Linked DNA regions of Drosophila melanogaster. The protein of the gene in region 3 interacts with the protein of the main gene of each other region in a biochemical or structural test. Each region holds a gene or a part of one and is shown on either strand. Other genes may lie near its edges.

What was found.
Region 1: the proteins of Ubx (region 3) and exd are reported together in a solved structure, tested with the Drosophila melanogaster proteins (2 studies listed by BioGRID).
Region 2: the proteins of Ubx (region 3) and hry form a complex in vitro, tested with the Drosophila melanogaster proteins (one study listed by BioGRID).

Annotation. Positions count from the first base shown.
Region 1 is NC_004354.4:15,991,010-15,997,050, reverse strand, and holds exd (extradenticle), read right to left. Parts: upstream 4,352-6,041; 5' UTR 4,127-4,351; intron 4,116-4,126; exon of another isoform or gene 3,938-4,115; intron 3,580-3,937; 5' UTR 3,543-3,579; coding exon 3,278-3,542; intron 3,087-3,277; coding exon 2,768-3,086; intron 2,705-2,767; coding exon 2,446-2,704; intron 2,367-2,445; coding exon 2,079-2,366; 3' UTR 542-2,078; downstream 1-541. Other genes in the region: CG46312 (uncharacterized protein), read left to right, coding at 5,947-5,968. UniProt on the Drosophila melanogaster protein: Transcription factor which acts with the selector homeodomain proteins altering the regulation of downstream target genes such as wingless (wg), teashirt (tsh) and decapentaplegic (dpp), thus affecting segmental identity.
Region 2 is NT_037436.4:8,673,932-8,679,794, reverse strand, and holds hry (hairy), read right to left. Parts: upstream 4,037-5,863; 5' UTR 3,546-4,036; coding exon 3,447-3,545; intron 2,424-3,446; coding exon 2,328-2,423; intron 2,191-2,327; coding exon 1,372-2,190; 3' UTR 542-1,371; downstream 1-541. UniProt on the Drosophila melanogaster protein: Pair-rule protein that regulates embryonic segmentation and adult bristle patterning. Transcriptional repressor of genes that require a bHLH protein for their transcription (e.g. ftz).
Region 3 is NT_033777.3:16,731,395-16,736,416, forward strand, and holds the start of Ubx (ultrabithorax), read right to left. Parts: upstream 3,033-5,022; 5' UTR 2,070-3,032; coding exon 1,304-2,069; intron 1-1,303. UniProt on the Drosophila melanogaster protein: Sequence-specific transcription factor which is part of a developmental regulatory system that provides cells with specific positional identities on the anterior-posterior axis. Binds the consensus region 5'-TTAAT[GT][GA]-3'.

The DNA.
Region 1 (6,041 bases), on a different chromosome or scaffold from region 3:
TTGCCAACAGTGTGGCCGTATTGACAATTCAAAGTATTCCGGGCAGTGCCAGCATGCGCGTCAAGGTAGCGGCGATTGAGTGCTAGATAAGTGGAACGTGTTCTTAAATTGTGGAATGCATTGGGGCAGCGGGTGAATTTTTTTAAAATTTCTACTTTATTATTTATAAATTTAAAATTGGTCGATCAAAGTGATTTATATAAATTACTACACACTTTTGGGAATAACTGTAAGATGTGGGGTGAAGTACATTAAGCCGTAATGAACCATAATAAAAATAAAATACGCCTAAAATTAAAATTTTTTGTCTGTTTTACAGCTGCCAAAAATCTAAAAAATTAAAATTCTTCTGTTTTTATTGACCAACCCCACATAAAAGAATGATTTCTATCTGTGAGCCAGATAGTTTTAATTAAAGAAGAGCAAGTGTATCTACAGATGCTCCATCTCTTTCTATTACGTGTATAGATTATCTGCAAAGGATAACGCCCTTTTCTTTAATACTCCCAAAAAACCATTAATTAATACTTCGTTTTGATTTATTAAGTTATTTGTGTAAAGTTGTGTATTTATATATTTTTCTATTGTTATCCAAAATGTTTAATGCAGTACCTTACTTACTGAAATACATTGAATGGTTTCATTTGACCGTAATGTGAGCGAAAGTCTGTCAAAGACATATGTTATTTATCATTTAAAATTATAATCGTTTTGTATACTTTCAAATAATCTGTTTTCATATCCGTTTTAATTGGGGGCAAAGAGTAGTGTACACTTCTTACTAAGCGAAAGACGAATTTGTTCTTGATTTTATAATGCAATTAAGTTGGGAAGTTCGTTTTTATAGCAAGAAATCCATTAAGATTTAATGTTTAATACTTTTTAGGATGTAAGAAACAAACAATTGTTTTGAGACTTTTAAAATACACGTTAATAAATCTATTAAATGTTATAAGCTGTTAAATAATACAATTCGTCCTTCGATAGAAATGTGACATTTTGTTTATCCAAGACTTTTCTTTTCCGTTTTTACATTCAAAATATTTTTGTAATTAGTTGACGTGTGTGCGGATAACAACAACATGTATTATTTATTTATTTGATATACATCGTATACATGGTTTAGTTTCGTATTTTCGTATTGTTCAAGTTTTTAAAAATTTCGTACAGTTTTAAATTCAGTAAACACTATTTTGCTGTCGTATACGTACTGTAGCCAAAAAAGAATCGTCATAGTATGATTTACATGCAATATTTGTATATACCCGCAAATGTAGGTAAATGTATTAAAATATATTTATACACAGCTGCGGTCAAAATAATAGCTCTGAAACTTGTGCCTCCTCCACTCGTTGTGAAAATATTCGTATACTACCAGTTTAATCGAGTTTCTTTGCATATGTTTTCGATGGTTAATATATAAGCTAAATGGGGCTATGCAGAAAAAGTCACTGCATTGGTTATTAACCCTTTTTAAAGAACGTTGATCAAATTATAATCGCTTAAGCGAATTATTACGTATTTATGTATTTTACAGTTGACATGCCACAAACAACATGCTTTCCATTTCAATTGATTGTGAATTAAAAAAAAAAAGCGAGCAAACTTTTCGTTTTATGTTCGGGCAAAAAATATTCTTAATTAGGCCATTATTCAATTGTCGACTTCTTAATACATCCTGCATGCATATATTGTTAAAAAGCAGGAGACTGTGTCAATTAAAAAACCATATCAGCTTATTTACTTTCTTTTTTGATTTAAGCAGGCAAAGTTTTTTCTGCCAACCAAAATGTAGCAAGCACAAACTAACTATTACGTATTTATATTCTACTCACGTATTTATGTATATCTATCGGAACTATATCTAAATTGATGGGAATTTTAAACTTATCTGACTCGAAACCAAAGGACAGAAAGCTGAATTTAAAAATCCCTTAAGAATTGTTGTTCTTGGCGAAGAAGCAAATATAAGCCGCATAATTATGAAAAAACTGCATGTTAGATTTTTCAGCGCAGTTATTTTGACCGCAACTGTATGAGGGATTCTCCGGACTGGGAGTGGTTCACAGCCCTGATCCTCAGGGGCTTAGATCCTGATGGAGATTTGGGTCGTAGCCGCCCATGCTGTTGTCGTACGGTTGCTGCTGGTCGTATCCGCCGGAGCCCATTGGATAGCCCATGGAATCCTGTGGCGGAGCGGGTGACATCATGGGTGTGGTTGTCCCGCTGGGTGGACCGGCCATGGAATACGGTGAAGCACCAGCCGCCTTCTTGGCCGCATACAAATTGGCCTCCTCCTGTGCCTTACCAATGTTCTTCTTATAGCGAATACGCTTGTTGCCAAACCAATTCGATACTTGCGAGACCTGCATGAGTGTGTTTTGTTTTATTTACTATGCTGCAATCGGATTTGCATTGTTGATTAATGTGCCCTACACTACTTACCGTGATGCCACACTTTCGTGCCAACTCCTCTTTGGCCTCTTCGGATGGATATGGGTTGCTCAAGTGACTGTAGAAGTACTCGTTGAGAATCTCGGATGCCTGCTTGCTGAAATTGCGGCGTTTGCGGCGTGCGTCCAGGAAACGCGAACGAAGTATCATTACAGCCTCGCAGGTCGACTGCTTCAGCTGCATTTGTATGGAACTAAACTTTTTGTGGATGATCTGCACCATTCGCTCGATTTCCTTTGGTGTAATGGGTCTGAAATACGATTATATTACCCAAATGATGGCCATCATTTTGCATTTATCTATATACACCAACCTCGTGCGACTCTGTTCGCGTAGAAGATTCATGACATGCGTGGTGAACTCGTTGCATGCCTGCTCGTACTTCTCCAATTCCTGGTGATATATTTGACGGATCTGTGCCAGCTTGGCACGGTAGTCGGAATGCTCAATGGCATTGTCAGCACCATCGATGGACAGGGAACCGCCCTGGCTGGCCGCAGCCGCAGAGGCAGCCGCTGCTCCGCCACCGCCCTTCTCGGGTCCGGCCACGCCCTCGGCAATCAGCATGTTGTCCAAGCGCATCAGTTGCGGATCTGGGGGCTCCTCCTCCTGGGTGTTGCGAATCGAGAGGACTGTAATAGTTTTAACGAAGAAGACGAATGATAAAAATAATTTCATACTGAACGTTTTAAGACTATTACGTTAAGAATTGTGTTTGATTTAGTAAATCAATTGTATCACAAGCAAATCACAAAATCCATAATACCATTTCAACTTATTTGATGGTCTTGAATGAGAGATAAATATAGGGTTTTAAGCTTACCGGTCTTCTCCTTGATTTCGCAAAGTACAGAGAAAAGTGCCGGCTTCATTCGGTGACAGTTTAGTGTATGTTTTCTGGCCTGGGCCTCGTCAAGTGATTGCTCCGAGATACTCATTATCTGTTGCAATATCTCGCCGATGTCCTTCTGCTTGCGCACCTCGTTCTCGCTGCCGGCATTCTGGCCATCATCCTGGCCAGACAAGCCGTATCCTTGCGGAGCCATCATGCCGCCGGTGTGGGCCAACATGCGATTGGGGTCCTCCATGGTGCCGCAACACAAAGCAAGCTACAAATCCAAGTTTCTGTAATAATATTAAACATCAAATATTAAAATCATGCAAGAAAAAAGGAAATAACCCAATATTTTTTCTACCAATTCGATTTTTTAGTGTTTTATTATTTAATAAATATTTCTTTTTTATATAAAAACATAAGTTTGAAACCCTTAAAAATGTAGTAAAAACTTGAGTTAATGTATACTTAACAAACTGAAAACAAATACACCAATTAAATCTTTTGCTACAAAATTCATCATATCTATAGAAGAGATACCAACAAAGCCATTAAACCCACAAACCCCACCACAAAATAATCCCCCAGACATTTGAGCAAAAGTGAAAAGACATTTTGGTATCCTATTGGAAATGCAATAATCTCCACCTGTCGCAATCTCATGAAGCGGCATATCTTTTTGGGGGTGAAAAAGTATCTCAGATGCGTAGCACGAAGCTGGGCAGTTACCCGAACTATTTATGAACTTATTTCTATTTATTTATTGCTGTGTACCACAGGTAACGTTACATTTTACACATGTACAGATAAATGACGCCGAGTGCATCACATACATACACTTGTACGTATGTTTAGTGCCAGCAGAATGGTAAAAAAAAATCAACCTGCCAAGTTTATATTTACATACACACAAGGTTATGGTTAAGCATTAATTTGAATGCAGTTTGAAAACATTTTGTTGGTTTTACATGTACATTCTTGAGATTTTATTACGTCAGAAAAGATTTAAACTGTTTATAACAAGGTGTATGTACATATCCACACATCGATATATGTGCATGTAAGTATTGAGAAGCGTCCACTTGAAATTCCATACTCACGGTTTTTTATTTATCGTGATTGCCTCGTATACTTATTTGCCGTACAAGTCGTATTTTGTGTTATTTTCACTAAAAATTAGTGACACATTACTTGCAGTTGTAAATAACCGCAAGTATATAATATTATTATCTTTTTTGGACAACAATGAAACGAAAGTACGTTCTGTATACGCAGAAAAATAAATCGATATGAAAAAGTTTTCCAGTACTGTAAGAATATCGATAAGTATTCCATAAAATGCAATTTATATTTGCTAGTGAAAACGTGGACAATCGATATCTTACCCGTAGTTACATTCTAGTGCTTACTCACTGCGAGTTGGGTATCGATACTATTTAAAATGTGGCTCTTGAAATAATATTTTAAACATTTTTTCAATAAAATAAATAAGATATCCTCTACAAAAAATGTGGTATATTGGTATTGGAATATAGAAGAAATACAGATGATCCACTCTTATAACATATATTTTAAAAGGCTGATTGGAACTACGTTTAATTATATAACACATATATTTGTTTCTATTTTAGTCAACTTCATTTTTAAAAATGGTCTTTCGTTTTTAAGCGTATTATTACATATCTTCATTTTAATAAATACCATATAAATTATATAAAAGTGAAAGTGTGAAAAGGCTAAAATTCATTCACATCATATTCGGCCAATCGATAGTGATAGGCTGCAGCCCACTAAAGTCGTTATGGTCATATTGTGCTGTGACGTTTAGTCGTATGTTCGTGGACTTCGGAGAAAATCTTTTCTTAAACGGTTAATTCAGTAAAATTATTAATTTACTTTCATTGTGATCAGAAACGCTTTATAGAAAACTTGTGGAAAAGGTATTGAAAAGTGATTGTGACCAAAACGAACACAACCTCAAAAGTTTAAATGGCGTGGCTTTCATCCATATGTAAATGCATACGTGCATGAAAATGTACATTTATATATATCTATACTAAATAATTCAGTTTTCCACAATTTTTGTAACGTTGGGTCTAGTGTATATCTGCATAAAGCTACTTTACTTCGTGCTTACACAAAAATCACGCTTCAACAGTGTTTTTTATGGCCATTATACAAAAGTACTGAATACATAAGTAATAGGAAAAGATATATATGTAAAATATATATATACTTGAATGTTAAATTAACCTTTTTCCTTCGAAATTATAAGTAAATTTGAGCTAAACTAAAGTAATGTAAGAAATACTTAGTACGGAGTGGTATACATATGTTCGTTCATGCGCATTCCTAATTTTATTTTCTTTCCCTTTGCAGAATAGTTGAGAGACCAAAAATTTCAATTTTTGCGATACATAAGCGCGTTAAAAGCGTTACTAATATTTTTCAATATTAGCACGGAATCAGAGCTATCAAAAAAAAAAAAAGTTATCGATTTCCCGTGGCAGTGCGATTTGTTTGATTTTGATTTATCCATATATATTTTCCAAGTCAATTTGCGATTGACTTCACAAAGAATACCCGAGAGTACGATATCTTTGTCTAATTTGCGAACTGGCATTGCGCACCCCAAAGGAGGGGAAACAAAATCTTATATGACTTTTGAAAGATACGGTGGTAAGTAATAGTTAATCATCAACAACCCATTGAATCGATTTGTATCTAAGACACATATTTATCCCGACCACTG
Region 2 (5,863 bases), on a different chromosome or scaffold from region 3:
TAAAATATACCCTTGTGCGCCTTAACTTTTGCTGATCACTTCGATTGGAATAACCAATGATTAAATTGCAAAATATTTTAAAATATTATCGATCAAAGGATTATAATAAGTATTTATTTCGTCACAACTGTTTCGAATTACTGGCCTATCGAACGGATGTGTGAAAATCAAGGCATTCCTATATAATGTTTATGATGCACATATATCTATATCCGTTACGGTCTGGCCACAGAAAAACCTTCAACTCGTCGTGCCGATTATATTAGCAGAAACGGACATAATCGAGCCCCTTAAAACGTAGTTGTATTATCGTCGAAATCCCCGCCGATCCTCTCCAGCAAAATGAATTTCACCATTGGCATTATAATAATTAGCGTCGAAATTTGCTACGATAAGTCGGGGGGCTCGATAAGTTTCCTGTCACTCAAAGCGTTTGACCTCTAAAACAAAAAAAAGAACCATAATGGGACTTTCACCCGAATGAAAAAAAAACCCAGGAAAAGATACCCCAACCACAATAACAAATCCGTTTTGCGTATTTGATTTTTTAGTAGAATCTTTTAAATTTATTTCTTTTTAGTGTGTTGTTTGTTTGTTTTTTCTTTCTTGTTGATTTTTTTGCTTTTGCTTGCATCAAATTCTTGTTTTGTTTTCTTAGAAGCTCATTATGTTCACTATATCACGTGGCCTTACGAATAGATTTGTGTGTTTTATAAATATAATTATTCTTTGATTAGACTTAAGAGCGAGAGAAACCCTAAGCGGCTTAGCTGGCTATGGTACAAAACCTATACTTAAATGGAGATGTACGACTATGTGTAAGAGTTATGCTTTTGCGTTTATCTTTTTCATAAAAAGTATTTCAGCTTTTCAGGTGCTTATTTTCGCATTTTCATTTTCTGTGTTTGGAAGACTTTTGCTGATTTGCTGTTATTCAAAGAGTAATACATGATACATGAGGCAATTCAACACCAAGTACTTGGACTGAGGTAGTTTGGCGATGTCCTGGTAGAATACCGTTCTCTCAAATCGATTACATAATATAATAATAAATAAATTATAACAACGTTTGCGTGTGTGTGTTTGTGTGTGGGTGCGTCTGATGAAGGTCCTTAGCCTCGTCGACGGGTTTCCAGGATATAAGCCAGGAAACTAAGCCAACGAAGTTGTGAACCGAGTTTAGGATTCGCATGTTTGCAACACTTCAAAGCAACATTTGCGCAATCCCGGCGAATGATGTGAAATGTCTACGCGCATGCGCACAACGCCTGCGCATGTGTGCGAGTTGGATGAGTTGTGGGGGGTCAGTCTTAAAAGCGGGAGATTCGATAGGGGTGGCTATGCTATATGATATGCATATGCAGACACCCTCTACCAGGGCCGCCAGGGCTGCTCCTCCTCCTTGATCTGCTTCTTGATCACCAGCGACAGGGGCTGCTGCTCCATTGGCACGCGCTGGATGACCGATGGCTTGATGTCCATGGGCTCGTAGCTAGAGTTGGCCGGACTGGGCGGGGCGTAGCTACAGCTGCTGCTGCTTCCGGGCGCCGACTCGTATCCGGCGGAGGAGTGCGAGCTGGCGGATCCGGTGCTGGCTGTACGCTGGGGCATGCTGACCAACATGGGTTGCTGTTGTGCTGCTGCTGCGGCCGCTGCTGCTGCTGCGACGGCGAGTTGCTGCTGCTGCTGTTGGTGCTGCAGCAACTGTTGCTGCTGCTGCTGGGGCAGGCTCTGGGGCAACACGAGGGCAATGCTACCGTTGGGCAGCTTGGTGGGGATCACCTGCATGCCATTGGGCAGAAAGTAACCGCTGGCCGTCTGCTGGATACCAAAGAGGTAGGGTGCCGCTGCTCCCTGCTGGCTATCCTGCTCCGGCGAGCTGGGCGGCGAGGGCAGCATCTGGGCGTGGATGGACTGCTGTTGCTGCTGGCGCTGCTGCTGGTGCAGCTCTGTCTTAACGCCATTGATGCAGTTGCTCAGGTGCTGTAGCAGGCGACGACGCTGGGCGGGCTCGATGCCGGGAAAGCGGCTAACCTCGTTCACACAGTCGGCGAATCCGGCCTTGAATTTGTTCACAATCTTGGGATCGGCGGCCTGCTGCATGGCTGCCTGCTGGCGCTGCAGCTCCTGCAGATGCTTTACTGTCTTCTCCAGAATGTCGGCCTTTTCCAATTTGGAGTGGCGAGCCGGCTAAAAGTAGAGAGAGAAAATAATTTGGAAATTAGTCAATGATTTAAACTTTTAAAAAATATTTGAGATAATTTCAAATATGTAGTTTTTTTTATTTTATTTGTGGCTTTAAACTTATATTTTTGTCAGATACTTACGTCTTTTTTGGTGGCATCCAGAATCAGAGTCTTGAGTTCATTGAGACAGTTGTTAATACGGGCACGTCGGCGTTTCTCCATGATGGGCTTGTTCGACTGCAAGAGGCAAGAAATGGAAAAAAAAAACATCGATTAGTCACGGCTTTTGCACGGCTAATTTGACCTCATGCAACGACCCAAAAATAGAGGAAGCTGCATGGGTCTTCAATTGGATTGGAGGAGATCAAGGAGGAGGCGGCGTAGGTTGGGGAGCGGATTGACTGGCTGGCGGCCAAATTTAGTCGCACGGCGCGTGCTCTATTTATAGCGCCACTCGGCCGAGGCATTTATTTAAAAATAGTTTGGCGGTTATAAATTACAGGCAGTGGCTATAAATAAACCAACCAGGTATGAGCAAAAATAAAGAGAATGTGACAAGGTCAGAGCGGGAAATTCGAAGATGCCATAACTAGGTACATTATTATCTAGGGAGCACAAGTTGCCAAATTTGGACTCGCATGAAGTCAGTTTTTTTTTTTCTGGCCAACTCATTGAACCGGTGCCGTTCGAATGGCCAAAAACGGCGGCTGATGACCGACAATTGCAGCCACCACGCGACGCACGCGCCAAGTGGCAGCCAAATCCGAATCCGAGTCCGAATCTGGGGAGCTGGTGGGCAGCTACGCCAGCCAATTTTGGGCGGCACTCATGAATGGATGGAGCGTGTGTGTAGTCGGAGTAGTATGCCATATGCCATATAGTAAATGCCACCAACGCGACGCGAGATAAATTCGCTTTGTGTTGGCGCGCCGACGGCAGTTGCGGCCTTTTTTTGGTCTGGCTCAGAGTGTTTTTCTTTTTTCGTATTTTTATTCCCAGCCAGCCATGTGGGAGATGGCTAAAAAGGAAATGCATTTGGGCAGCGGGATTGATGGGGCCAGTCGCCCACAGTCGCGAATGGAAATCAACTTGAGCTCGAAGTGGGTGGCTCTCAATTAGGGGAATTCTCGGTTTGGTTCGCTTCAGTTAATCCACAGATTTCGGGGAACTAGAGGTTCTGATTTAATCCATTGACGGGGTTTTTTGTTTTTGGCTTTGGATTTTTTTTTTCGAGTCTTATTTTTCTCGAAAGAAACTTACCCGACGGTCACTTTTGAGCGGCGTCTCCTTGAGCTGGGCCGGCACAACGGCGGTGCCCAGAACGTTGGTCATGTTGGCTGCTGTTACGCCGGTAACCATTTCGGTCAGATATTGTTTGTTGAGTTTGAGGCACAGTTTGGTTTTCACTTGGCAGCAAATCTGAATTTGCTGCTCTTTGCAATATAAGTTCACTGCTTTTTTGCTTTTTTTAGAATAACTCAAGTTGTCAGTTTTTTTTTTTTTCAAGTTCACTTGGTGGTTTCACTTTCGCGCAGCGTCGCAGAGAAGCACGTAAAATGGTATTGTGTCTGGGGGGGTTCTCTAGATTTCGATTCGGTTTATCAAAGCGGAGCGATAGAACCGCACGCTACGAAATACGGCAGGCGAATGAGCAGCAGGTTCTGGCTGCAGTGCGATTAAAAGACCGAAACGACTCGGCACGAAGCAGAAGATCGATCGTTCGGCTTTCGGATGGTTGCGCTATATATATGTATGTATATATATATATAAGTATTTGCTTTACTGCGTCTGGATGTTGCGGAGCGTAGCGGGACTACCTTATCGCTGGGCTCTCGGCGGAAGACTGACGATTGATCGACAGGTTCGTAGGCTAAATCGCCGCTGCGAGACGCGAGCGCGAGCCACACGACCGCACCAATACAATTGCACTGGCATTGCGGCTACCTAGGGGTATACATTATGCGCTACCTGCTCGCTTCAGTGTGTGTGTGTGTGTGTGCGTGCTCACGCTTGTGAGCGGTACCTAAAGTACACACCGCGTTACTCATACGCCCCCGTGGCTCGCGGGAATGGGCATTTCTTCCTTTTTGGAAATCACACTGCGAAACCCCCATTGGTGATCGTCGGTCGGTCGGTCGATCAGCGATCGGTTTGGCTTGACTCTGCTGGGCTCTGCTAACTGAGGGATTCACAAGAGGCTGTGTTTCTGGCTGTGCTGTTGGTGATGGTCGCGGTGGTGTTGGTGTTGTTGCTGCTTCTGCGGTGGTTTCTGGTGGCTCGCCGTTCGTGGTTTGCTGATTCATGCGGCCAACGCGACGACGTCCCATAGAAGGTGAAAATAGCTGGCTATATGACGCCACCCCAGTGCGACAGGTTCGGTTTTTTGTGCTGTGTACTGTGTATCTGCGGCTCGGGGGTCGCTAAACAGTAAACAAGATCACAAGGTTGTGCGCACGCTAGGCGGAAGTGGGTGGTTGGGTGGTTGGGTGGTTGGGCGATCGGGCAGTGGGTGGTGGCTATAGTTATCCCCCTAGCATTTTCCAGACCAGTCTGTACAACCGACTCATTCAGCATGCCGTACGCCTCAATTAAGTGAAGGTCGCCCTTTTGGCTTTTGATCGATAGCCGCCAACGGGCTAAATGAAATGGAAATCGCTGTGGACAAGGCTGCGTGGATCACACGTGCTCCGCCGGACGCTTAGATTCAGCTTGATGGCTTCTACGTGCAGCGTTGGATTTTCACGTTTTTCATATATTATTTGTTGTTTTGTTTTGGAGTAATGATTTATCGAAGGTTGACTATAATTACGCGACACGCGGAATAGTCGGGCATCAGAAAACTAACCATTCATTAGCAGAATGAGAAGAGGGGCATTGCAGTGAAAACTGGGAATATTACAGTGAAAATGAAGCTTAAATTATATTGTTTATTTGGTAGTAAAAAGCCAAAGTGCGTCACACACATTTCGTTACAACCGAAAGTGATATTTTAAATAACTGCTTAAGCCATCTATTATTTACAAAATATGGGTTAAGTTTTAAGAAATGGTAATAACCATGTAATTAGTTTAACCAGGCTGAGCTCAGTAAAGGTAGATGACACATATTTAGGTTACACGATCTATAAAAGGAAATTACGTTATCTTTGACGTTTGTTCTTGGGAAATATTTTTAAAGCCTGACTTGGACTCTGACCACTGATTAGTGAAGTTATACCAAAACCACGAATCGTCAACAAAGTTACATTGGAATGAGTCAGTCAGGCTTTAAACATTCAAGTTGGCTAAAAACGGGTGTTTACAATATTTTTTTTATAGCGAAACCACCTGGCAGTGTTTTTATAGAAACTAATAAAGTTGACTCTAATGAAGATGAGTAAAAAAACGTTTAGAAGTTAATTTGATTTTACTACACTTAATTTCTGCTTAATAATTAAATGAAATTGAACTTAATCAACAATCACGTCTTACAAATATGCATATCTATCGATTCGTGAAAATACTCAAAAAGTTTGGGGAATTTCTGACATTTTTGACGGTTGTCTAAAGTGTTGTGCGTTTTGTGGTCGCCAGAGAAGGTTGTTATGCCGAGAACACATGCCCCAACAATATGGATACATATATATATAGACGGTAGTGGCGGACGTCGACAACACCTTCGCGTTCCAATTACAATTT
Region 3 (5,022 bases):
GCAGTTTACGTTCGATCTTCGAGCACCTAGACCTCCTTCGGCTGACCTACTCTTGGCTTTGTTCTTGGCCCAAACGGCAATCTCGGCCCAGACGCAAGCCGTTCGCCTCGCTCGGCTGGTGACTGAAACCCGTGGAAAAGTCGAGCGGTGAGGGGCTGAACGTAATTACATAATGGCGTAGTTAACCGTAATAAGCGCGACTTCTGCGCGCAGTGTGTGTCCTGAAAGGATTCTTGCCCTTTCTCGCCGACTCCTGTGGCTGCCTTTGCTGCCTTTTGCTATTTCTTGACTTCTCCGTTGCTATTTTGCAGCTCTTTTTAAGCCGCATGCCATAACTCACGCTGCTCGTTGCCGCTCTCTTGTTGCACAAATTGCAGCTCACTTGGGCTGCCAGCGCTGCAACAATTACCGCCGAGCATCATTAAAAGCAAAGGTGACAAAAATTAGTAAACAAAGTGTTGAAAATTATGAGGCAGACGTAGCGCTGCAAGGTGTCGCGGAGCGGAGCAGGTGAAATCGAAGGGTCTGAGCTGGTTTTTTTTATTTTTTTATTTTAGCTACTCATGGCTCTTCACTCGATTTAATCACTCTAAGCGAGATCACAGCCATAAAATCTCGCTTAGAGTGATTAAATCGCTGAAATTGGCGGCCAGCGAATAAACTATGGCCACGCAAATGGGTGCCTTTAAATAGAATTATTGGAAAATAATTTTGAGTTAGCCAAGGGGGTTTTTGCCTTTTTAACACTTAATAAATCTAAAATACTTGTCCTAATTTTTTTCCTCTGAAGAATATAATTTTACTATTTTTTATTAAAATTTTTAATTTTTTTACCAAGTATTATCACATCTTTTTTTCTAAACTTTTCAGCCAATTTGAATATACACAATATTAACTAGGACTGTTTTTTGGCTTCCTATAACCATAATACATTCTTAGTTTTTGTTTTTTTTAAATCGCTTAAAGTTTTTGATTGCCAATAAGGTGTTGTGTCTTTTCCCTAAGAACCTGCCATAAAAAGGTCTGTTCTGCCTGCTTTCATATGTCTTACATTACAAGTTGTTATCTGTTTTTCCCATGATCGATTCGAGCTCTTCATTATATTGCCTTACATGTTGACTTGTCTGTTAATTGGAGCAGAGACGGCAATTAATCACAGGATGACTTTTGTTGCCATAGCTGCAATCTGTTGAGCTTGATAACAACTGGGAAAACAACAAAGCTTTGGCACTGCAGGGATGAGGACAGAAGGGATGGGATTTCGGGGGACTTTCAGTGGACTTGTGCTGCAGTGGACACTCACTTTTGGTCGGATCTTCAGGACACTCACCTGCGATAGCCATCCAGGGGTAGAATGTGTGATTGCTGGCCTGGTGTAAACTGCTGGCGGCCGCCGTTTGGGCAGCGGCGCCCGAGATGGTGCAATTGGCATTCCAGGCAGTGCCCGCTCCGGCCACGCCCACGCCGCTCTGTACGCCTCCGGCGTTGCCGTTGCCGCCGCTGACACTCACATTACCGCCGGCACTGCCGCCGCGATGGCTAACGGGACTGCCGCCCGACGTGTCCAAATAGCCGCCCACTCGGGAATCTGGGGTGCAGGCGGAGGGTCTAACGGGCATACCGCCCGCCGGATTGTTCTGTCCGTTTGCATTGGCCGCATTACCGCCATTGGCATTGCCGGCTCCACCTGTTCCGCCCGCTCCGCCGCCACCACCGCCTCCGCCGCCACCCCCGCCGCCATTCGAGCCGCCCGTGTTCCAAATGTCTTTGTAGCCATTCACCGCATCCGCCTTGATGTTCAGGCAGTCCTGTTTGTAGGCTCCGGCTCCATCGCCGTATATCTTGTTGCAGGCGGCCGTGATGCTGGCATCGTAGGGCGAGTCCTGGGTGGTGCGCTGCAGATGGTGGTTGGCATAGGGACTCATGCCCAGCGAGAGAGGGAATCCTCTGTACGCGGCCGCCGCTGCACTGGCCGTCTGGTCGTGGTGGCCACCGCTGCCCATTGCCATTCCGGTGGCCTGGTGCGGATGGCCATAAAAGCCGGAGGCCTGTTCAAAGTACGAGTTCATTGCGCTGCTGGCGGTAAGAATCTTGGCGGTGCTCCGTCTGAGACGGGCTAAAAGTCGTTGGGGGCTTGACCGATTTCACACGAATTGGTTTCCAGGGATCTGCGATTTTTGGCGGATTTTATTTGAGTGTTTCCTCGCTTTCTGTGCTGTTCCTTTGCCTCCTTTGGATTTAAACAAATTTTGTTAAACTCTTTTTAAAATTTATTTTATATTTTCACTCCAAGTCTTTGTTGATTAAGTTTGGTTTTATATAGTTAAATATGTCTTATTATTTGTAAAATATTCTTGAAATTTTTTCTCCTTTGTTTTAGCACCAATTTGAATTTTCTTTGTTTCAGAGTAACCAATTTGTTTTTCACTTATTTAAATATTTATAAAATATTTTTCTGTTTGGTAAATATTTATTTCAAAAGTTATTCTTTTTATTGCACTCTCCACGCGGGTCGTTTTAAATTTATTTAAGCACTAATGTTTATTGAGACTTCAATCTTAATAATCTTTAAATTTTTTTCCACAATTGTTTGTACGGTTTCACAAGTGTTTCGTATACTTTGTTGCGTTTTGGTTTCGGTTTTTAGCCAATTGCACTTTGCTGTTAATTGAATTCGAATTTGAATACTTGGATTGCGCTTGCCTTGGCACTATCAAAGGCTCGTAAGCGTTACGATTATTACTATGTTTATTGTTATTGCAATTATTATTATTATTTTTATGGTTTTAACGATTTGAACGATTATTAGCCATAGTGCTGACCGAACGGGCGCGAATGCGTCTGCTGACGGATTTCCTCGAATCTGGACGCCAATCTAGTGGAAAGCGACTTTTCCGCGCGGCATTCACGGGCGGACGCGTGGGCGAGCGGTAAAGCGCTGAGGGCCAATAATAACAATAATGCCGCTGATAATGTGGATAATAAAACAAAGCGCGCGCCTGTTATCCAATCCGTTGCCATCGAACGAATGTGGCACCAAATCGCAGTTGCCAGTGTTTTGACTTTGCTCTGCCGACTCAACTCACTCGACTCGGCCTAAAAACGAGTGGAAAACAGAAACAGAGAGCCAGCGAAACGCTCAAAACCAGATTGTTTTTGAGCGCTCTTGCGCTCTCTCTTGAGTGTTCGTTCAGTTTAAGTTTATCGGGGTGGGCGCCTCTCGTTCATTCATTCGCGAGGAAGGAAAATGCGCTCGCCGCGGGAAATTCATCATGGAGGAGGGCTGATTTTCCTTCAACTGAGTGGCGAAAAACGCTCGACGGGCTGCCCGCCAGTTGCCAGTTGCACGCCAAACGATGCGCATCCCGTATTTGCTCGGTTTTAGCGCACTTATGACTACAGTTTCAGTTCCCAATCTTTGTGCTAGAATATGGCTTACGCAAATTATTTGTATCTAATTCTATTCAGTTTAAGCTGGTCATTATTTAATTGTTCAATATTTTGGGGAATAATTTGCACACAACGAAGTGCAAAAAAGTTTTTGTTTTAAAAAATATATTTATTAGAATAGTCGGAATATTGTAATTATTAATTTAATTTCTATGGAAGTAAATATCGTATAAATTGTTTCACAATTTAGAAAAATATTAGTAAATTAATCGTTTTTACCTTTACCTCAAAAACTATAAGCTTAATTCAATGTGGTATGGCATAAAAAGATACTTATCACTTAAAGGCTTTATTAGGCCTTTAAAAACGAATTATAATATATTAATGAAGACATTATTTTTTATTTATTAAAAGTCTCGTGTTTAGCATTAGTTTATTGATAATAAGTCAACCCCAACTCGGCATTGTACGGTAATAGAAGCCAGGGATCCGGAAAATTTGTGTGCTGCGGTTTTCCTTTTCCTATTCAAATTCAAATTCGCATTCGAATCCAAATGTTCAATCCGTTCGCCAATACTTTCAATGGGATATTAATGTCAATGTAAATATGGTGGGAATTGATGCTAATAAATTCATATGCATAATGCAAATAGATCGGGGTCTTGCAGACCGAGAACGCCGCGCCATTCGCGAAAGTTTCGCAAATATTTGTCAAAGTTTCCACATTCGCACAAACGGCTCGTAGATTAAGCCAGAAACCGACGGCGACCAAACAAAGTTGCTTGCCACAAGTGTTTGCAAAATAAACTTATTATAAGAAGAAATTTACTTTTCTACTTTTCCAACCCCTGCTCGCGCCATTTTCCGCCGACCAAATTTTCGGTGCCAAGTCTTAAAAATCAACAACAAGCGAAAGATACAAAAACTTGCACAAAACACAGATACGCACCACCACATACACACACACACACACACACTGACAAACACTTGAATCACATTCGGAGACGCGGCGACATTTTCTAAATATGCGACCAAAAGCCCAAGGAAAAGCGAAGCCAAAAGGCGAGAAGACCCAGAGCAAAGCAAAAGTAAAGTAAAAATCGCAGTCGCAACTGCAAACTAAATATCGTGAGTCGGGAATCCAGGACCCAGAAACTCGCTATCCCGCATTTGGGACCCAGGGGAAGGACACGAGTGCGAAGGACTCGCGGGGATGACAGAGAAATAGCCTCATAACCATTTGAAGCCATTCGAAGGCGCATAAAAGGATCACAACAATCGCCGAAATGAGCCATAATGAGCTCGTAAAAATTTTGCTACCTAATATACTCGGGAATCTTACGGGTACGAGTATATTCAAACTTGCTACGTTATGGTGGGGTATGCAATGGGGCAGCGCCAGTTCCCCTCTGTGGCTTCTGCTCCTCTCGTTGCTCTCGTTACCTCCTGCAGGAGCTCCTCCTCCTGCAGAAAGTTGGAACCCGCAGTTTTGTTTTTGTTCGACATCGATGATTGTTTTTTCCTCCGTTCTGCATTCTCGAGTTTGCTGCTCGAGTTACTGCTCGATTATGAATTGATGTATTTTAGTTCTGAGAAATCTAATTCTTCCAGAAAATGGAAACGTTTTTGTTG